3 linked regions of the Pelodiscus sinensis genome follow. Each later gene encodes a partner of the first gene's protein in a complex. Links are inferred from orthologs where the notes say so. Each region holds a gene or a part of one and is shown on either strand. Other genes may lie near its edges.

Region 1 (7,832 bases):
GTTGCAATACTGAGCATCATGGTGCCTATTAGGCACTTAGAAAAAAATACATGACTAATACTGCTATCCACAAACCTGACTACATCAGGGGTGGGGATCCAGCCCCCAAGGCTTGCCCCATCCCATCAGTGGGTAGCCTGTGCTGACACTCCAACTCTCCCCCTACCCCCAATATCCCACCATGGGGCTGGAGCACACAAAATCTACTTGCCTGGGAGTCAGTGACGCCTGATGCAAAACAGGTTCCTCACTCCTGCTTTAGGTACACAGGGAGGGCTGGAACAATTTGTATAATGGCGTTGTTGAGAACCATTGAGCTAAACAGTAAACCCTGCATGTAATGGAAACCTTTTAAAGCCAAAGGGTGCTGTAGCACCTCTGCCCCTCTAGTTCCAGCAACAATGAGTGCACAGACACCTAAAAACAAGATCCACAAAAGCTATTCCACTGAGGAACTGCCTAAGTTAGGTAATGAGAGATGCTGACCAGAGAGGGGGTGTGCTCCTCTCTGGGAAGGGCATTAATTCCAGGCTGCAGGAGAAGCATCTGCTTAGCAATCCTCAAATGAGAATCTGTTGGTTGAAATAAATTGCTTCTTCAGAGGAGTTATGTGCTAGCTTTACTTTGCATATAATAGCTGGAGAGGGTGTACACATGCATTTCCCATTTTAACTTTTAGCCTAGTAGTTAGACCACTTGCATAGGCTGTTGGACATCCTAGTTCAAGTCCCTCCTTTTTGCCAGAGCTGGTCCAATACACATCACTAGGCTAAATATTCAGATGAGCAGTACCTCCTCCTATGGTTCGATTTTTGAATGGGAACCATTCTGGTTAACAGTCTCTGAGCATGTCTACTGAGGCCCTGGTGAACACCCTAAGCAAACGCTTATCTTCCCTTGCTTCATGAATCCTTTTAATGGTTAGCGAGGAAAGAAGCACACAGATGTCAAGAGGAAGACACCTCTGTGTAAGCCTACAGACACCAACACAGAGGCCTAAGGAACTTTTACTTTGAAAACTTAAGTGCTTACATGGTTTGACATTAATTTTGTGGGGTCAAAAACTTGGGCACCATATCTTTCATGTATCTGGACCCATGTGACCATAAACTAGGTTCTAAATGCCAGGACCAGCCCTGCCATCAGGTGAACTGAGGCAGTCACTTCAGGTGCCAGACTGTGCTGGGGGAAAGAGGGGGGGCAGCCCACACCACTAGGACCCAGAGGCTATGTCTATACTCAGCTTCTTGCATGAGAAATATGCAAATGAGGCTAAGCATGGAATATCATGGAATATCACTGAGCCTCATTTGTATACCTAATGAGCTGCCATTTTTGCAGAAGAAGCTCTTGCACCAGAAGGAGCTGTCTACACTGCCCCTTCTTGCACAAGAAAAACCATCTTGCACAATGCCATTGCACCATTTTCAGGAATAACAGCATTGTGCAAGAGGGTTTTTCTTGTGCAAGTAGGGGTAGTGTAGACAGCTCCTTCTGGCACAAGAGCCTCTTCTGCAAAATGTCAGCTCATTAGGTATGCAAATATGGCTCAGCAGTATTCCATGCAGCCTCATTTGCTTATTTCTCACACAAGAAGCTGCAAGTGTAGACATAGCCAGAGCATAGAAAACTGTGTCTGCTGCTGGTGCATATGTATTCTCTCTGCTCTAGATGCACAGAGACAGTAGAGTGCTGTGCTGGAGGGCACAAGAGACCTTTTTAAATTTTGGCCTAAGCAAGGGGGATGTGGGGCATCATTTGAGCTCCCCATCTAAGGTGCCAAAATGTTCTGGGCCAGCCCTGCTAAATACCTTAAAGTCATCATCAGCAGAAGAATGTAGAGTCCTGCTAACTCTTCATGCCCTTAAGATGTCATCTGCTCCTCCCTAGTTGCTGCCTGCCCATAATACTGCCAATTAGTGATTCCATCACTCCCTCTTGCTGTTTTAATTCTGCCTTTACTTAACCTCTTCTCCCTTACCCCCATTCTCCCTTCCATTGTTCACTTTCACTCTTTTCCATTATGTCCTCAACCTGAGGCTCTGCTGTTCCCAGCTAGGGAAAGGGGAAGAAAGAATAGCTTTTGGCTACCTTTGCTGCTCTAAGTCTTTGGAACCATCCTGGCAGCACCTGTAAACTACCCTCTATCCCACTTCAGGGATGTACTTGGACCTCTACTCAAGATTTCCTGTGTCTTTTTAGTTAACTGAATTGGAAATTATTAATGCTTGTAATGATAGAGGTATGCCTACCTACAGCAGCAGCAGAAGGTGCCATTGGCTGGTAGAAGAGGCACTTAAAGGAAAGCTCTCTGGCCACATCATTACTGGAATTGAGCAACAAGCCCTCAGAACACTTATTTTTAGGACACAACATTTGTTCTGTTCAATATTGATACGGATTAGAAATAGATCTTGGGAGATTTGTGAAGAAAGAGGTCCTTTCTTTACTCCTTTCAAGGTGACGTTATAGGTTATATCACTGAAAACAAGGATAGAAAATATATTATTCATTATAAAGGCTAATTAATTGACATGTTTGTCCAGGGGAATTCAGACATAGGGATTAATATATTGCAATGTCTAAAGCGACTCAAACATTGTGTAAGATATTAGAATGCTAATAGGGGTGCTTTGGAGGGAAGAATAAAAACCACAGCATGGAGAGATCTATCTATGAATGGGGCAAAATTGGCATCTCTTATTTTGGAAGACTTTATAACCATAAAGCAATGTATTCGTAGGAATCCAATACCTCTTAAGGAAAATATTAGCTGCAAACGTGTTGAGGAGCAAGGCAATTTTCTAATGTCTTCCCTTCACATGAATTTGGATAGCTGACTACCACTTTATAGACTGACCAGCTGACTTTTAGGGTGGGGCATTTGTGACTAAAATACACAAGGTTTTCTGCACTATTTTCCTTCTTACAACTCAACATTGCTTGAAAGACTCAATGTAACTGAAGTGATGGTTACATGGATTAGAACAGATGTAGAATGCAGAAACTAAAGATACCCTAATAAGTATAGTAGAATACTTTGTCTCTAGTCTAGTTGAAGTAAAGAAGCTTTGGAGGAAATGAATCACTCTGGGCTGCAAAAATGGAGACTTGTCAGTGACACTCATTAGGACCTGAAGGGCCACACACTGCTAAGTGATAACAAGCTACACAGGATCTTAGTCTGCTCCTACTGCAACAAACATTTCAACATTAAGTGCTAGCCAGCTCAAGTGACCAACAAAACAGAGGTAAGGCAAACTTATAATTTTAGATTTATAACGTTTAAACAAGTGGTTACAACCTTAACTTGCCTACTGTAGACCTTTACTTAGTGGTAGCATAAGAGTCACTGTACACTGCAGAAGAAATTTTCATCTTGCAATTAATGTTATTCTGGACTTTGAAGGTAGTGCTTAGTAAATAGTTTCACTATTAAAGGACAGGCTGCATTTTTACCATACCTGAACTTCCTTTCTTAAGATGACACAATGTTCAAGTTCAATTTCTATCTAGAATCTGTGTAAGATTAGTGATCAAGAAGCAGATTACTTGTATTGCTAAAGACTACTGTCTCCTCTAAGCACCTTTGGTTTTACAAACTAAATGGGTACTAACCTCTGTAGTACTGTTCAAAATGGAATTTAAGAAGAATGCATTTCTCTGGCGGTGATTTTGAATACAACAGTCCATTCTCTGTTAAACTGTAGCTGTTCTGGACTCAATGCTTTAATTTCCTCTGAAAGGCTGAAGTCGTGGACAAGATGTTTAGCAGTAGATATTCGGCTAAAATCTCCTCCCTCCTTCCATCCCGCCTTTCTGTTAAGCTTTCATTTCAGCTCAGCCACCTCCCATTTTTTCCCCAGGACTTTAATCCAAGCACCCCAATCCCCTCCCCCTTGTATACGCATTCACCGCGCTCATTTATTATAGCCTGTCTGGTGGCAGGGCCTGCCCACCCCCAGACCGCTGAGTCAGTTTCCTAAATTCACGTTCAGGGAAGCTCGACAGCACCTTGCCGTGCACACAGATTAGTGGCGCCTTCCCCTCCCGGATCTTCCCCCTGCAGCCTCCTTCGCTCTGTCCCAGGGAGCTCCCGCAGCCGCTCGGCGCGAGCCGAGAAAGGCGTTTGAAGTCCCCGCGGAGCAGCGGCACTCACTGCCCGCGGGCCACCGGACGCGGCGGGGGGAGGGTGGCTGCTTGTGTGGGGCGCCGCAGCACAGCCCCGCCAGCCGGCTCCTCGCCCTGCAGCTCGCTTTCCAACCCGGGAGACAAGGCTGCCCGGCCGGGGGCTCAGCCCCCTCCCGAGGCTGGGCGTGGGGCCTGCGGCCGCGTCTCCCCCCCCCCCCTTCCCGGTGGATCAGTTACACGCAGTTGGCACAGGTGTGGGGCGCCCTTCAGACTCGCTCTGGCGACACGGGCCAGACGCAGCGAGCAGCAGGGAGACATGCAGCCATCTTGAGCGCAGGCGGACAAAGAGCCGCCCGCCCCCGCCCGCGCACCCCTCGTCTCGCCCCGCGGCACGAACCAGCCTCACCGCCCTGCCCTCCCCCCGTCCAGCCGCCACCGTCCCCCCCCCCCCCACCACCTTCAGCCCCCGCTGCTCCTGCAGCTTCGCGTCCGGGCCGCCGCCGCCCGACTCCCAACTAAACCTTCGCAGCCATTTGCCCGGGCTTTTATAGGCGGCTGGCGGCCAATCACCAGCCAGCGGAATCCCTCTCCGGCCGGTGATGTGAGCCGGCTCCCGTGCGCCTGCGCCGTGAGAGGGCAGCGTGTGTGGGGGGGGCGGGAGGGAGGAGTGGAAGGGGGAGGAGGGAGCAGCTCACAGGAACCCTCCAAAAAAAAGATGGCGGCGGGCTCGGATCTGCTGGATGAGGTTTTCCTGAACACGGAGGTGGATGAGAAGGTGGTGAGCGACCTGGTGGGCTCCCTCGAGTCCCAGCTGGCGGCCTCCGGCCATCACCACCAGCACCACAAGGCGCAGGAGCCCCTCAGGACCGCTGGGGGGCTGCTGGGGAACCATGTTGTGAGCAGCAGTAGCAGCAGCAGCAGCCCTAGCCCTAGCCCTGGAGGAGTAGTAGTAGGAGGCAATGCTAATGTCCAAACAGAGAGCAGCAGCAGCAGCAAGATGGGACTCAGTGCCCCAGAGATCACAAAAGCAGGTAACCTGGGCCGGGGTGGGGGGCTCTCTGGGAAAGGGGCCTCCCCTCCCCCCACTCCCAAGCTCTGACTGCCTCCCTCCCTTACTGCTTTCCCCCCTTTTCCCTCTCTCCTCCTCGTTGTTGTGGCAAGAGCTGGAGTGCAAGGGGCGGTATAAATCATATTGGGGAGATACCCCCCCATACACCAGGCCCTTTAGTATATGTCTGACTGTGCCCCTCTTCCTCCTCGTTCCTGGGGTGTAGAGGAGGTGTTTCTTGCTATATAGGGGTACTGCACCCCCTTAAGAGAGCCATAAACAAGACACTGATGGGTTATCAGTCCCTTTTCTTTTTCTCCTGTTGTTGCTGGAGGGTAAACGGGTGCTATTAATCAGAGGAGTCAAGGAGGGGAACTAATGGGGGCAAACTACCCCTCTGATGATGATTTTTCCCTCAGTTTGTCTGAATATTCCTCTGCCTTCCCTGTTGCTGGTGTATGTTGATTGGTTTTATTGGGGGGATTCCCAATTAATAGGGCCTTCCAATTTCTGTTTGGGTGCTCCTTCCCTTCCCCCTTCTCTGTTGCTGAAGTGCAAAGGGGTGTTATTAATCATGACACCCATTTCCTGTATAGGAGGAAGTGAGGAGGGATTTCAAGGGGAAGAAGCCCCTAAAATGCCTCCCCCCTCATATCTGTCTGGGTATTCCCCATAACCCCTCTTGTATTAGGAGTTTGGAGGGGGTATTCAACACATTTCATTCCTCGTTCTCCCTCAAGGGGGTGTCATGGCAACATAAGGTCCTTGGATGGGGGGGACGGGACGACTGAGGGCACAATCCCTATCCTCCTCAGATGGGCTTCTCCATATGTTACCTGTGAATGTTTTCTGCTTGATGGAGGAGCTTTGTTTTAAGAGGATGATGTTAATCACAATATTAAGTCTCACTTTATGAGAGTGGGTGGGAGGTTGTTTTTAGGAAAGAGAAAAATATTCTTATCTGCCCAGTATCTATCTGTTTTATGTCCCCCCCCTACTATTTTCTGCTTCTTGTTGCTGAAATGTAAGAGGATGCTTATATTAATAATAGCAGATCGGTAATGAGGATTTTGCAGGAGGGTCCTCTTAGCTATTGAGACACTCATATTATAAGGGTTATCTGTGACAGCTCCCTTCTCATTTCTCTCTCCTTAATTCAGGACCTGGACTGCCAAGTCTGGTGTTAATTGTGATACCAGACCTCATTAAAATGGGATGAGGAGGTCTTAGAGTAGGAGGGCACATTGTAGTGTCCTCAGTGCCTGAGTCTGTTTTCTCCCCATATTTGTCTTTGATTGTGGGAGCTTGAGGAGCAGAATTACAACAGCACAGGCCCTGGTGTGAACAAAGTCCTCTTTTGGCAACTTTTTCTTTGTCACACTGACAGTTTTCATCCCCTATTTTTTACATTATTGTACTAGTTTAACTGCATGGAACTACTAGGTTCCTCTACAGGACATGAAAGAATTGGGGGGTAAAGTGTGCAAGGTGTAGAGGGCACAGGGAAGACTTTTTTTCCCCTCCCTCCGCATCTTTTAAAACATTTTTTCTCTAAATTCATTAACTGGAATGTAAAGGAAGTTGTTAAACGTAATGTCAGGCCCTGAAATGTGGGAGAGAAGAAAGTTTAGGATAAAGATGTATCCCAGCTCTTTTATTGTCCAGATCTGTCCTGTTGTATGTCTGTCTGTCCTCTTTTTCTTGTTATAGTTGGTTCAAGGGGTGGCTATATCTAATATCACTGCTGCCAGGTGTGAATATGGGGCATAGAAGGGCTTCATGGTAACCTCTCTACCCAGAAAAAGATAATTTGTATTTTCAGCCCATTTTTTTTCTTGTCTCATTCCAGACAGTATGGAGGACGTGGGGGCGAGGGGGTAAAGAAGAATTGGGAGGGTGGAGAAACACACTCCCTCTACCTTTTGTTTTCACCTCCTGCACATTCTCTCCATTGAACCTTCTTCTTGTTGTTTCAGGGGCTGGAGGAGTGCAAGGGGGTGTTATTAATCATAACACCAGGTCCCAGAGTTCAGCTCTGGATGGAGCCACTACAACCAGCACCACCACTGCTGCAGCAGCAGGAGGAGGCGGATCTGAAGCTGCTGCTGCTCCAGGGACCCTCAGTCAGGGCAAATCTGTGGTTATCAGTACAATGGCAACTGCCTTATCCACCAGGAATGGCAAAATTGGGACCACAACGGTGCAGACTTTGAATGGGAGTAATGTGGTGATGAACTCTCACCATTCGGGAAGTGCTACTTTCTCTGGGACTCCTGCAACTGCTAATCCTGCTGCTGCACCTACTGTTGCCCCTCTAGTTAACAATGGACCTGGATCTGTGGGGAAAGGAAATACAGTTAATGCTGTTTTGCCTTCAGCTTCTAACACTGTCATCCAGACTTCTTTCCTCAGCACCGCTGTGTCCTCCACCTCATCCCCATCCCCCACAGTAATCTCTTCACAGCCGTCACCAAGCATTGTAGGTGCGGGGCCTACTGTAGCACTGGTGAGACCACCAATTCACACAGCAGGACCCACGGTTGCTGCAGCTGCTGCAGCCACTCAGAATGGGAGCAATACTGTGATCAATTCAGCCATCAGTGTGGGTGTAGGGAGTTTTCCTGCTGTTGCTGCAGTCACTGTGGGCTCTGGA
Region 2 (7,532 bases), on another chromosome or scaffold:
GAGTACGGTTATCCAGCCAGTTATGCACCCTCCTTATAGTAGCCCCATCTAAGTTGTATTTGCCTAGTTTATTGATAAGACTATCATGCGAGACCATATCAAACTTTACCTTACTAAAGTCTAGGTATACCACATCCACGCTTCTCCCTTATCCACAAGACTCATTATCCTATCAAAGAAAGCTATCAGATTGGTTTGACATTATTTGTTCTTTACAAATCCATTCATCATAACAATGAATCTCTTCACACCAAGGCCACAAGAAATAACCACAACCTTCCTCCTCTCAGTTACATCAGCATAAGTGTACTTTGTGATTAGTAGCACATACATTGCTTGAGGTATATGTAAGCTGGTTCTGCTTGTGTCCTGAACTCTAAGGGGAAACAGGGAGGCCTCACCACTGGAAGATGAGCTCTGTTTCATCTTGTTTAAGCTGCAAGACAAAGCACTGTCAGCCAAGAAACCTACAAAAGGAAAACAGAAAATACTGATTTTACAGGTCAGACAGAACAGCTAATGGAGTACCCAGTTGGGAGAATGAACCTAATCCAGAAATAGGAATGGAGGAAACAACAGCATAGTGGGTGCTAAATAAGTCCCCCATATGAATTGGTCTCCATCTCTGAGATTCTTCAGTTTGGGCTTGCGAAAATGACTCTCTGACTGAGCCCAGTTTTGGTTTGTTTAAATCTTTTTACAGACTGACAGAAACATGGCCCATCACATCCACCCTTTATCAAGACCCTTTCTCCCCCAAACCTCACACATCCCTTGGTCCTTTCCTTCAATAAAAACATACCCATTTTTAAAAATTTTTAAGTGGGGGACCATTCCTAAAACCAGATTTCACCCCACAATCCCCTATTTCCTGGTAGAGAAGAAAAGTTCTTGTCTCCAAAAAGGCTGAATTAAGAAAGAGGCTTTAGGGGCTGCAGCCCTGGGTTAAGGGGGCCTTGCAAAAAGATCTCCAGGCTGCCACAAATGCAGATCTTTTTGCAGGGTCATCTTGGCCTGGGCTACAGCCACTAAAAGCCCGTGTTCTATCCCTGCCTGGCAGGGGATGCGGGTTGGGACAGTGGATGTAGCTCTGCACGCTGCCTTTCTTCCTCCTGTTCTCTCTGGGCTGGAGTTGTAAATGCCAGATAGCTCCATCTGTGTGCTTCCCTCATCTGCAGGCTCTGCCGCTCAAACTTCCATTGGAGAGGAATTGCAGGGCAGCATGCAGAGCCACCTGCCCCCTCCCATCTTCAGGGTATGCACTTCCAAAGGGGAACAGGCCCAGGAAGGTGCCCCACACCCCAATTCACCTGCCCCAGACCTGAGCCCCTTCCTATACCCTAACTCCCTTATAGATCCTGTACCCCTACCGCTTGCTCTGAGCCCCCTCCTGCATTCCAAACCACTTAGCCCTAGCTTGGAGCCCGCTACTACACCCCAAAAGCCTCATCCTCAGCTCTACCTGAGCCCAAAACCACATTCAGAGTCCTGACCCCTCCCCCATGCTGAGCCCCTCATTTTTAGCCCCTCCCCAGAGCCTAGGGGCCTCTCAGGAGACTTAATCTGGGCTTGGTCCCTGATACTCCTCAGGAGGCACCTGCTCTCTTTCTACCGCCAAATGTGCAGCAAAGGACACAATTCACAGCATTCTTTAACCAGCCAAAGAAACACCTGTGTAATTGCACCAGCAAAAATAAAGTACCCAGCCCCAGGAGAACAGGCATCCCATTAAAAGCATTCAGCTCTCCAGCACGGGACCAGATAGGAACCAGAACATAATGCAATAGCTTCATTACAATAGAGTGGCAGCATCTGTAAAACATGGCTTTAAAAGTTTGGTCTCCTTCACCCACTCCCCTTTACGGAGAGCAGAAGAAAAGTTCTGGGGTATCAAATCCATCCCCCCAGCTGAAGTGCTATGCCCATGAGAGCCCCTAGAAGGGAAGGGTTCTTCCCTAGAGCTGAGGCTGTCCATGACAGAACCCCTCACGACCCAAGAACAGCTCCGTTTTGGGGTGGGAAGATTCCAGGGGACATTTATATGGCACCCCCTTTACAACCTCTGAGCGCCACTGAAGGAGTCAGTCTGCAGGGCAGAGGTGTAGCCAGCTCATTTTTGACACCTCATTAATACGTATAAGCAATCATTAATATGTATGATTTGCTATGAATATGTAGTAGCTGTTAGGCATGTTAATATAGAAGTTTCTAGGAGTGTTGCACATGGCACGCAAGTAGCTGCACATGTCACACTGTGCTGCTGCATGCAGCACACTGATCCAGGCTGTTACAACTTGTTTATCAAAGCACCCAATCAGGGACCCTTGTTTTCCTGTGCAGGGTCCAATGATTTTAAAGATAAAGATCATGAATATTTATGAGAAGGGTGCTTTGAAGGCCTGGCTAACAGTTGTGTGTGTTCGTTCGCGCCTCCCTTGTTCCTGCTTGTCTCCTGTCTGTTTATGTCAGTCTATAGTTAGTTAGGGTTAGCTAGATTTTATCGAGTGTGTCCGTTAGGATTAGTGCGTTGGTTCACTGCACCAGCGGCCGGGTACTTGTCCGTGACGGGAGCGTCGTGTTAGCTAGTCAGGTTTTGTTTCCAGGTGTTAGGGATAGGTAGCTGTCTATCATCGGTTCCTGCTGAAGCGCAGAAGCCACCTGAAGATCAGCACCAGGCAAGTCTCCACCAGTGATTCCTGCATCTAGGAGCGCAAGGCCCCAGACAAGGATCATCACCACCTGCCTGCACCACACCCATCCCCAGGGTCTCCGAGGGATCGCCTCTCTGTTCCTCACTGAGGGCTCGGAAGGAGCCTAAGGCTTGAGGTCGAGAGCATCGTAGAGGGTCACCACTGCGAGGGATCTCCTCGTCTTTCACCAGAGGCTTTAAATTATCAAAGGTTTGAGAGACAGGAGCTTCTCACCCACTGTCAACTACTGGACTGTGTAATTATTGTATTTTGTGTAACCTTGTGTTTGTGGGGTACTTTTCTATTGTGAAAGTAGAAAGAATTATACTGTAAGAAAAATATGAATTGTGCTGTAATAATTGAATAAGTTGAAGGAATTCTGTTTGTCTTTTTAAGAGGAAGAAGAAAAGTATGTTAATGTTGATTGTAGGTATGCAGATCAAGGTGCTAGCCAATTTGGGCCTGAGTTTAACAGGAAAAGAAACATTAGGTGTTAGACAGGAAACAATTCCAGATAATCAGGGAGATATAGCCAGGAGATTGCTGTGTGCTTAATATTGAAATGAAGAGTACTTGAGTAGCCTCACACTAATTATGTGAAGTTTTGCCCCCCTTTTAATCCTGTTAATTTTGGCTTTCTTTTGACTGTATAAATCAAGAGGTTTGAACCTTGTATGGCACTCACATTTTCTCCATGCATTTTAGCAAAGCTTTGCTGAAATAAACAGAGCAGTCTGCCAAATCTGTGAGTCCTGTCTGACTTTGACACTATCTTCTTTCCTTCTTGAGGTTGGGATAAAAAGTGTTTACCTGCTTTTCCTTGTGCTTTTAAAACTTTTACAATATATGGTTTGGCCCTTTTAAAGAGCAATGTTTTTGTTTACTGTGGCATTCTTGGGTCAGCAAACACCTATGATAGATGAGGTTTGGTGGTATCTGCAACTTCCACTGAGGCTTAATTAATAATCAGATGCAAATGTAGGTACAAGCTTTCCTCAGTGCAACAGAGGGCTGCATTCCCCAGAGGCAATGTTCCCTCTATTTTGTTCCACCAGTGCAGAATTAATGTTGTTATGTACACCAAGTCATTGTAAAGATGTGCACCGCCCATAAAAACACACGCTGCCAGCTGTGGGTGCTCTGCTAGTCAGCTGGGCAGCGTTTGAATCTTTACTGGGCAGCCACCCAGCTTACAGGGAAGACTGCCCAGAGGATGGGAGTTATCCCCCTCCCCACCACTAAACACCAGGCGCATTAGGGGGCTGGGTCCTACTCCCTCCTGCCTGGGCCACAGAGGTTCCCCAGCAGCCCCTCTCCCAAATCCCTGCCCGTTGTACGGGCCTGCGGTGCCCGGGCTGCAGGGATATTCCTAGCCAGGAAGGCTCTCTCCCCCAGCCCCGCTTGCCCCCCTGCGGATCCCCCCCCCCCCATAAGTATCACAGCGGAGCGAGAGCAGTTTCCTGAGGCCAGCTCGCTCCACCCAGCTGCAGGCAAGTCGCTCTGGCTCCTGGGCAGGGGAAGCGGGGGGGATGTGTGTGTCTCCCAGCGCAGCCCGGAGGAGCTGCAGGGGAAGTGCCTGCGGGCAGCAGCCAGCTGAGATAACGCCCCCCCCCCCCTTGGGGAGCTGCTGCTAGGGGGGGGTGCCCCAGGTAAGCCCCCCCTCCTCACAGCTGTTCCCCCACATCCCTCCTCCCCCCCCCCCCCGCTGCACCCCCACTCCCTGCTGCAGGGGGGACAGGCACCGCCACGCGCTGCGCACACCTGCCCGCCGCGGCCGCAGAGACCAGCACCCAGTCGGGCGAGCGGGGCGGGGTGTTGGAAGCAGCGGGCGGGGGCGAGTCTGGTGCCGTACAACAAGATGGCGGCGCCCACAGCTCAGGCTGAGGTGGGCGGGGCTTGGGGAGCGAGGTGCCGCTGCGAGCATGGCCGACGAGGAGGAGGACCCGCCGGTGAGTGCAGCTGCCAGCCCCCGGCGGGGGGGGGGAACCCCTGTGCCCCAACCCCTTCCTGCCAGGGGAAAAGTCTCAGCCTCCCGTTCCCCCCCCCCCTTTTGGTGCTGTGGTCCCTTCCGGCCTCAGCCCCTCCCCCAGCGTTTCCCTCCACGCGCAGGGGCTGCAGCAGCGGCCCAGGCAGGGCAGGCCCCGAGCCGCCTCGCGCCTCCTGCCTCGCGCCTGCAGGCAGCCCCGCTGAGCTGCCAGGGCTACTGGAGGAACAACGCGCTGTGGGGGGGGGGCGCCCTGCGGCACAGGCCCGGCAACAGTTTTTGACCTGGAGCCGCTTCAGAAATGTTTGAATTGGCCTTGGGCTGCCCTGAAAGGGGCGGAGCCTCTGGTGCAAGGGGCGGGGCCAGGACACTTCCCTGCTTCCCTGGACACACACCCTGATTGTTGTGTTGGGGGGGGGGGGGGTGAAGTCTTTGTCCCCAGAGCCCCCCATCCCCAATCATCAACTGTTCAGAACAGTTGGTGGTTCCCTTTAGGAGCCCACCACCTGGTGGTTGGAGGAGACTGTGCACTCCCCCCTCCCCCTTTCCTCCAAGTTAGTTGGGGGGGGGGGAGTGCGTGCACAAAGCCTCCTCCCGCCCTGTCCTGCAAGGGGTGTACAAGGCTTAAAGTCAACTGCCAGCTGCTCAGAGGCAGCAGCAGAAGTTGGGGCGGGTGGGAGGCAGTGCTTGCAGGGTGCTGGCTACTTCCCTCCTTCCCAGCTCCCTGTGTAAACATGTAACTGCTGAAAATGTCAAAGGTTACACGTTTACAAAAGAAAACACATTTTAACATTCTTTCTCCATGGCTGTGTCTAAACTGGCCACTTTTTCCGGAAAAGCAATCGCTTTTCCGGAAAAACTTGCCAGCTGTCTACACTGGCTGCTTGAATTTCTGCAAAAGCACTGATGATCTCTGGCTGCTTGAATTTCTGCAAAAACACTGATGATCTCATGTAAGATTGTCAGTGCTTTTGCGGAAATACTATGCTGCTCCCGTTTGGGCAAAAGTCTTTTTCAGAAAAACTTTTGCGCAAAAGGGCCAGTGTAGACAGCACGGTACTATTTTCCGCAAAAAAGCCCCGATCGCGAAAATGGCCATTGGGGCTTTTTTTGCAGAAAAGCGCGTCTAGATTGGCAGGACGCTTTTCCGCAAATCTAGACGCGCTTTTCCAAAAATGCCTTTAACGGAAAACTTTTCTGTTAAAAGCATTTCTGGAAAATCATGCCAGTGTAGACGTCGTCCATGTGTTTATTTAGGGCTTGGTTCAGGATGTCAAATTTGGGAATTAATTGCAGTCTGTTTTTGAAGGTTTTTTTTGTTTGTTTGTTTGGTTTTTTTTGGCCAGAGAATAGCAATGTGCAAGTCTGAAACTGCATGATATTTATGACATAATTTAGGAGTTGGCAACACTGGAAATACTTTTTCTTGTATCAGCTTTCTCTGGGCCAGGTACAAGCTTTTGAGTTTCATGGAGAGCTCTTCTTCAGGGCTTAAGTACAAATAGTTTACACACTGAAATGGAATCCATAATTAGGCACAGACATATTCCCCACAGTCACATTGGGGGTATGGAGTGGAGTGGGAGATCCCTGTGGGGAGATTGAAATATAGGGAGCTGGGCTTAGGCTTGGCTGTGTCACTAATTGGGCTTGTCAGCTATGCTTATATGTCTGAGTTCCCTCTCTGGTATTCTGCACCACCCTAGTTTGAAGAGGACACTGAAGAAGCTGGAGGAGGCCCAGATGGTGGACAGGGCAAGAGGAAGAGGCTGTTCTCCAAAGAGTGTGAGTTTGCCATCCATGTGTCTGGGTCAGTAAGGAGGTGGACCCTCACCTTAGGCTCTCGGACAACTGCATTTGGCTTCGCTTCTATGGAGGTTATAGTCTATTTTAAATGAGGATATGACTGTAAATCACAATAAGACAGTAAAAGTGACAGACCACAGGAGTTCTGTGAGAGTCTTACACTGGAGTGGATGGGAGAGCTTTCTGAAGTCCATTTATTGGGTCCAAGGCAAAGCAGATGCGATAATGACTGCCAGTGGATCGATTGATGTGATGGAGATGAGCCCTTAGTTTGGTTGAAGAATTTAGTGCATGTTGCTAAGTGTCCTGTATAATGGGGAGCTCTTTCAATGATACCATGTTTTCTGTTTCCCCAGTAAGATGTATGATGTATGGGTTTGGAGATGACCAGAATCCCTACACAGAGTCAGTGGATATTCTTGAAGACCTGGTGATAGAGTTTATCACAGAGATGGTAGGTTCTATTAAGACATCTGCTTACTTTGTTTCTAGACTGTAATGACTATAGAGATCAGTCCATTTAAAAAGAACTCCTAATTGGACAATGGTTAGGAAAGTCCTTCCAGTGGAAGGGACTGAGTTAGTTTTTTAAAGAACCCAAAAGTAGGGTTGGTTTATTTCCCTTAAAAAGCAAAATAAAAAAGTAATGAAGTTTAAACCATTAATAAAGGTCGTCTCGTGCCTGTCTGGTTAAATATCTAATTTGCATTCTGGTGGTCACTAACCCTTCATCCTTCCAAGGTTGATAATCTAGTCTATTCAACACTGTGTAAAACATTTCTATATGGTACTTGTAAAGGGAAACAGTGTCCTGCATGCTCTGCGTGGACTTTAGATTCCATTTCTATTGTAATAGAAGATTCATCTTGTGGTCCTTAGCCAAGGATTCCTGAATTCCATTTTTAACAGAACTATGTAATTCCTCTTCTGGGGTAGAGGAGTTTTATGTACTGTTCTGTTTAATTTCATCTGCTTTCTAAGTACTACCTCTGGAAATGGGACACAGAAAGGGATCATGTTCTCTCCCTCTGGGGCAACTAGTATTGGCCACT
Region 3 (6,911 bases), on another chromosome or scaffold:
TCATGTGAGGTGAGGAGTCCCTAACCCAATGGGCTTACAGTCTAAGTCCTCAATCCATTTACACTCAAGTGTAACTTTACTCATGAATAGTTAGCTCCTTTCTTTTTTTTCCCTCCCTAAAACCACTAGCTAATTGCCTGTTCCTTGCCCCTGACATAAGTTAGTTTAGATGTAAATACTTTCAAACTACAATCTAAAAGAAGAGTTTAGAAATCATTTGCTGCACTTGGATGAAGGGGGCAGGTGCAGCTGCTTAAATGGTTGGAAATCAATTTCAGGAGTATTCTGATAGATATTAGAGCATCACCTATCCTGTCTTTTTTCAAATACAGTAGGGTTTATGGGTAGGAAGAGATTTTTTGACTCCACAAATCTTAATATGAAAATGTTGCCACTATCCTACCTGTTCCAGTGCAGGAATTTATAAGGAAACTAAAACCAATGTTTTGCTTGTTTGTAACGATTCTATTGCACTACATTTATTACAAACATATACAATAATTAACTTTAAGAATCTTAATTATTCTGCAAGGTTGTGACATGATCAAATGTCTTTTGCTGTTCTGAAGGTTGTTTTACTCAAACCTAGTGATCAAAAATTTCCACTCTATTTTCTCTAGAAAGTGCCTACAAAGTTACACCTTAGTAAGATGAAAAATGGAAGTAGTCACTGGTCTGGTATTAGGTTGGTCCTTGCAATCCATTCTCAGTTAATGTATTCAGTTGGATTGCCTAGGATTCTAACCTGGCCCATTCTATTTCCCCTAACCACACATCCTGCTGACTCAAAACTTTGGTAGACAAACTGCCCTTGGTCAACAAATAAGGAAAATGAAAGAGTCCTCACTGATGTTTAACTGTAGAATGCTCTGAGAATTTACAGAATTTTAAAATGTTTGGTGCAGAATTACCCCAGGAGTGTTGGGTCAACCCAGTGACTGTACAGACACTGTGTCACTCACATTGACTAGTGCTGCCTTTCAGAAACCATCCCTCAATGCTCCACAGTGGCAGTTAAATGAGTGCAAGGACTCAAGCTGAAGATGCACGCAATGTAGGGGTGGATGTGTAAAACCACTTTAATTACTTGGTGGCTATATGTGGATGTAACAAAGGTCAGCTTAATTTTGTAGTGTAGAACCCATGTCCTAGTCAAATGCCATCCTGAATAACTGTTTGCTCTACATGCAATTCACTGTGCACCCTCTGTAGATGGAGATCAGCAACATGCACAGAAATGGGAAGGTTTTGAAGTACAAGGAACTTAGTGAGAAGTTGCCTAAGGCCAGGGTCTGGGATTGCTTCTTGAGTTTGATATTTTGGAGGAAAGGCCACTTCCTGGGTTAGACAGAAGTGCTGGCAGAAAAGCAGAGTGGATGGGGATCTGCTGCAAAGATGACTGTTACTGTAGCATGGAAGAGAAACTAAAAGTTATAAAGTATCCAGGAGAAGAATAGAAGACTAAAAAACAATAGAGAGAGACTGTTACAAGTAGCCCTCTCCTCACTTCAAGAGACACCAGACCCTCCCTTTCAGAAAAGGCACACATGTCAGAAATAGAGTGAATTTATAAAGGAATGGGGAGAAAATGGGCTTTTCTACAAAACCCTTTCCAGATTTCAGCATATAATGGGGCTCCTACCACTTTGGTGAAAGTTGAGTCAAGCCTAGCACATCTGTCACTGCATCTTCCCAATATTTGATCTAAAATGTATTCTTTATTTTGGCCCCTAACTCTTATGTACCACATAAAGGCCCCAGGCCTTCAAATTGAGCATGGGGCTTTGCTGCAAAGAAGGCTGGTGCAATTTTAAACTATATACTCAGTTACAGAGTACCGCATATCTTTGGTTACCTGTTAATCTCGCATTACATTCCAGAAAGCACACCACAACCATAATACAGTAAATATTCTGTTATATGCCACTTAATTAACTGGAAAGCTCAACTGGCATTTCTAATATCTGCTAACAAAAATATTCAGTCTAGTAACAGACTAGTATATGGCCACGCCCAGCACATTATGCAACCGCATATTCTACACTCTACTTTTATGCCAAAAAAGGCAGAAGACAAATAAGTAAGCTGATGCAGTTTCTAGGGCATGTCATTACCAGTTCAGCTCAATCTCCTACACTTTCTACAAACATCTACAATGATAATTGATATTGATGACCCTGAGGCACTACAAGATCCTGAAGTGCCTGCTGAATCATTGAAGATTAAATTACATTTTGTAGAGTTTTATATTAAGTGTATTTTTAATGAACTGGGATGTATGTCATGACCTGCCAATTGTCGTGTAGTGACACAAAATAACTTTCCCTGCATACACCTAAGTGCTTCAAGGAACCAACCACTCTGCAGTGCAATACATCAGGCTTGGTGAGTACCTGAATACTATTATACTTTATTCATTTTATTGTTTTCTAGTTCTTTGAAAAGTGGTATTCCATAGATAAAATAGAACTGTTTGTTAAACAGAATATTCAATTAACCAGCACCCTCCATTCCACCAGTATGCTGATAACAGAGCTTTTACTGTATTGTCAAACGGGGGGAGCATTCAAAGAATAGTAATAAAAATGACCAGAGGGCTTAATCTGAAAGGGGAAAAAATTAAAGGAAGGAGAGAAGGGACATAACAGAGAACCCCACTGAGTGCTGAATGAAGGGGAGGGAAGTCAAATCTTTTTTTCAGGAAAAGTTGGATTTGACAAACTATTTTTTTCTGAAAATGCATATGCTTTCCAAAGAATTTTTAAGTTTTTTAAAATAAAAATAGTATTTTTATTCTGAAATGCCTACAGTCTGCCTTACAAAAATTATAGTTCAAGTTCCCTGTGCTCCCCTTCTCCATAGGCCAGGCTCTGCATCTGAACATTTCCTAGGCCACCTCTTTCCAAGAGATCATAGGAGATGTACCCTGATGCATGAGCCCCAAAGAGACTGGGATTGCAAAGCATCTGATCTGTAACCCCCTCAGACACAACAACAGCATTTCTTAATCAAAGTGTTTCATATGTTTGAAGGGAGGGGGTAGCAGAAAAATTAAACCACTTGCTCTATTGCCCATAAGACAAATATAAACAAACCCCAAATGCCTCCCTTTTAAAAAAAGGCCATGCTTTTGGGGTCCAGACTAAAGACTTTTTAACCCTTAGGATTGCTACTACAGCTCCTCATACCATGCTGATACTGCACTGACTAACATCCCTCTTCTGCAGGCTTCTCTTACCACAAACTTGCACAAAGTTTCTCTGTGCATTGTCTTCTCTAGTTTGCATCAGTTTCTAGCAGGGCTGCAGGTCCCTCTTCACTCCCCTGTCACTGTCTGATCCTTACCAAACAGAGCACTGCAAATCTGGACGAAGATACTTGCGGCTCACTTTTGCAGATAGGGAGGCGGACACCCAGTTTTGTTTGTAGGACCCTGCAAATTTGAGGATATCCACTTTATATCCCCTGGTACTGTTTGCAGATGCAGGTACCAATGGTGTAGCCGGGCAGGGCTCTACCCATAGAGGTACAGAAGGGTAGCCGAGTTACTCTGTAGTTGAAGTTTTTCCAGTAACAACTAGTCTTGCAGCCCCTTAAAGACTATCAAAACACGTGGATGGTAGCATGAGCTTTCGTGGGCACGCACAACCCACCTCTTCCAACAAAGGTAGCAGCTGGTATTTTCCCAGTTGAGTCTCAGGCTGTTAATTCCCCTCCCCCTAATACTTTCCCGTGCGCCCGTTTTCCCCCTGCGCCTTCCCCTACTCTCCCTGGGTCTCTGTCTACCAGCTGAGCGATCCCCCCGCCCCGCCTGCACAGCCAGGCCGGCTCGGCCCCGCTGGAGGCCAGAGCAATCGATCGGCCGCCCGCCCCATCGACGCGCTCGGGGGTGGAGCGGCGCGGCCTGCCTGCTCCCGGCCGGCCGGGAGGCGCGACCCCAAGATGGCGGCGTTGGCGGCAGCGGGCGCCAGGGCCTGCGCGTGAGGGGGGCCATGGCGGGCTCCGGGCCCGGGCCGCGCTGAGCCGGCCGGGATGTGCGAGAGCTACTCGCGGTGTCTGCTGCGGGTGTCGGTGGCTCAGGTCTGCCAGGCGCTGGGCTGGGACTCGGTGCAGATCTCGGCCTGCGACCTCCTCACCGACGTGCTGCAGCGCTACCTGCAGGGGCTGGGCCGGGGCTGCCACCGCTACTGCGAGCTCTGTGAGTGCCGGGCCGGGGGCCGCCTCTGGCATTGCGGGGGAGGGGAGCGGGGGGCTGAGTCAGTGCGGGGCGGGGCCTCCCCTGCCGGGGCAGCCTGACCCTGCCACAGCAGAGGGGATGGGAGCCATGGAGACGGGGGCCAGGGCTGCCACTGCCCGTTCTGTGAGTGCAGGAGTGGGGGAGCCATGGAGATGGGGGCCGGGGCTGCCACTGCCCGTTCTGTGAGTGCAGGAGTGGGGGAGCCATGGAGACGGGGGCCGGGGCTGCCACTGCCCACTCTGTGAGTGCAGGAGTGGGGGAGCCATGGAGACGGGGGCCGGGGCTGCCACTGCCCATTCTGTGAGTGCAGGAGTGGGGGAGCCATGGAGATGGGGGGCCGGGACTGCCACTGCCCGCTCTGTGAGTGCAGGAGTGGGGGAGCCATGGAGATGGGGGGCCGGGGCTGCCACTGCTCACTCTGTGAGTGCAGGAGTGGGGGAGCCATGGAGATGGGGGGCCGGGGCTGCCACTGCCCACTCTGTGAGTGCAGGAGTGGGGGAGCCATGGAGATGGGGGGCCGGGGCTGCCACTGCCCACTCTGTGAGTGGGGGAGCCATGGAGACGGGGGCCAGGGCTGCCACTGCCCATTCTGTGAGTGCAGGAGTGGGGGAGCCATGGAGACGGGGGGCCGGGGCTGCCACTGCCCATTCTGTGAGTGCAGGAGTGGGGGAGCCATGGAGACGGGGGGCCGGGGCTGCCACTGCCCATTCTGTGAGTGCAGGAGTGGGGGAGCCATGGAGACGGGGGCCGGGGCTGCCACTGCCCACTCTGTGAGTGCAGGAGTGGGGGAGCCATGGAGATGGGGGGCCGGGGCTGCCACTGCCCACTCTGTGAGTGGGGGAGCCATGGAGACGGGGGCCAGGGCTGCCACTGCCCATACTGTGAGTGCAGGAGTGGGGGAGCCATGGAGATGGGGGGCTGGGGCTGCCACTGCCCATTCTGTGAGTGCAGGAGTGGGGGAGCCATGGAGACGGGGAGCCATGGAGACGGGGGCCGGGGCTGCCACTGCCCATTCTGTGAGTGGAGGAGTGGGGGAGCTATGGAGACGGAGGGCTGGGGCTGCCACTGCCCATTCTGTGAGTGCAGGAGTGGGGGAGCCATGGATGGAGGGGGCGGTGTCTGCTACTGTAAGCTCAGTGATTGCAGGGAAGAACATGGACGGGGTCTTGCTGGTCCAGGGCTGCTGGTGGCTTCACTGTGAGTGTTGGGTACGGGGCGAGTTGTGGGGACGGGGATGTAACTGCCTGCTCTGTGAGTGTAGAGGTAGCCAGACACAGTGGGACTACTGTTGCACATTCTGTGAGTGTAGCGAGGCTGAAGCTGTCACTGCCAGCTGAGTGCTGAGGACATTGTGAGAATTGGGGTTGGGCAAGAGCAACCACCCTGGTGAGTTCTGTGTATGCGAGGTTAGTGCAGGGTGAGGGATGGACCTTAACAAAGATGCTAATTACCTTAACCATTACAAAGATAGCTTCCTCACTTATCACCCCTGATTAACCATTCATCGACTCATAAATAGCTATTCCGTCCTTCCCTCTCCCTCACCCCACCTTCTGTACTAAATCTGATTTGTCAGTTTAATAATGTGTTCACTTTTTTCATTTTATTCCTTTGATATATATGGCCATGCCAATTCTCTTCCAGAATATGATCTGAGGAAGCATGGCTGTCATACATGACTGCTCTCTCTGAACATGGGGAGTCAAGGGGAATGGTGGGTCAGTTCGGGCTCTGGGAGTGTCACTGTAGTGTAAGCTCAGGGAGAGCTTCTGGGAGGCACAGTTGTAGTGGAGTCTGCAGAGGTGAGTAAAGATCCATGGTCACTTGGGGGCTGACAGTGCTAATGGGAGTTGAGGAGTGGGGGCATCACTGCTGCTTTGACTCCAGGGTCCATTGGGATTAGAGGGCTGAGACGCCAGGGATGACAACCTCCCTATAAACTGTAAACCCAGAAGGATGGGGGGGTATGTGGATATTGTCATGCTCTGAGGGTTTTTCTTGTTTGCCACCAAAAGTTCTCAGATTAAAAAAACAGAGGAGCCTTGGGACCATATGTTTTTTGGCTACCTTCAGGGGTTGGACTGAGCCTACCAATAGTCATGAGAAAAACTTTAGGTTCTTTTTTAGGAGGGAAAGGGAAGCGAGAGTGCATAGGGTGGTACCCATATGTATCACCAATGCAGGGATTTTACAAGTGCCACAATCATACCTCTAAGTTTCGCATATAAATGCTAAGATGAATGGTGCTGTATAAACATGTATAATAATTGTAAGGTAGAATCTAGGAGATCAGGGAGCATCCGACTGTGGAATAAAAGAGAGGACTTAGTTACCCACCTGAAGTTGGGTTGGACTTATTGTCAGTAGTCTGATCCATGTGAACTTGGTGTGAAGCAGATGTATTATGGGGGACAATATCTTTACACATGGACCAGAGTTGCCACTGTGAGAGTGCTGAGAAGCTTGAAAACAGAATTACCTTCCAGGGCTTAGCCTATATTTCCATAGCCACCTTGAGATTTGTGAGGCCGGGGGAGGGCTATATAATTAGGAGTTGGAGGCACTGTAATCTACCTTCTTATTTCAGCTGCATAAGGGGTGTGAAGCATTTACTGCGACTTGGGAACAGGGCATATTTTCTTGATGAATGTATGGAGGGGAAGGGAGCATTGTT

The links. The genes of interacting proteins can lie anywhere in the genome.
Region 2: TAF4 (region 1) and TAF13 share a complex: the UniProt entries of both Homo sapiens proteins name them as parts of the TFIID basal transcription factor complex. The link is inferred for Pelodiscus sinensis from reciprocal best matches to the Homo sapiens genes TAF4 and TAF13.
Region 3: TAF4 (region 1) and TAF3 share a complex: the UniProt entries of both Homo sapiens proteins name them as parts of the TFIID basal transcription factor complex. The link is inferred for Pelodiscus sinensis from reciprocal best matches to the Homo sapiens genes TAF4 and TAF3.

Annotation. Positions count from the first base shown.
Region 1 is NC_134728.1:9,457,285-9,465,116, forward strand, and holds the start of TAF4 (transcription initiation factor TFIID subunit 4), read left to right. Parts: upstream 1-4,821; 5' UTR 4,822-4,846; coding exon 4,847-5,162; intron 5,163-7,155; coding exon 7,156-7,832. UniProt on the Homo sapiens protein: The TFIID basal transcription factor complex plays a major role in the initiation of RNA polymerase II (Pol II)-dependent transcription.
Region 2 is NC_134711.1:148,145,177-148,152,708, reverse strand, and holds the start of TAF13 (transcription initiation factor TFIID subunit 13), read left to right. Parts: upstream 1-4,529; 5' UTR 4,530-4,612; coding exon 4,613-4,639; intron 4,640-6,380; coding exon 6,381-6,459; intron 6,460-6,836; coding exon 6,837-6,934; intron 6,935-7,532. UniProt on the Homo sapiens protein: The TFIID basal transcription factor complex plays a major role in the initiation of RNA polymerase II (Pol II)-dependent transcription.
Region 3 is NC_134711.1:9,754,358-9,761,268, forward strand, and holds the start of TAF3 (transcription initiation factor TFIID subunit 3), read left to right. Parts: upstream 1-3,908; 5' UTR 3,909-4,032; coding exon 4,033-4,198; intron 4,199-6,911. UniProt on the Homo sapiens protein: The TFIID basal transcription factor complex plays a major role in the initiation of RNA polymerase II (Pol II)-dependent transcription.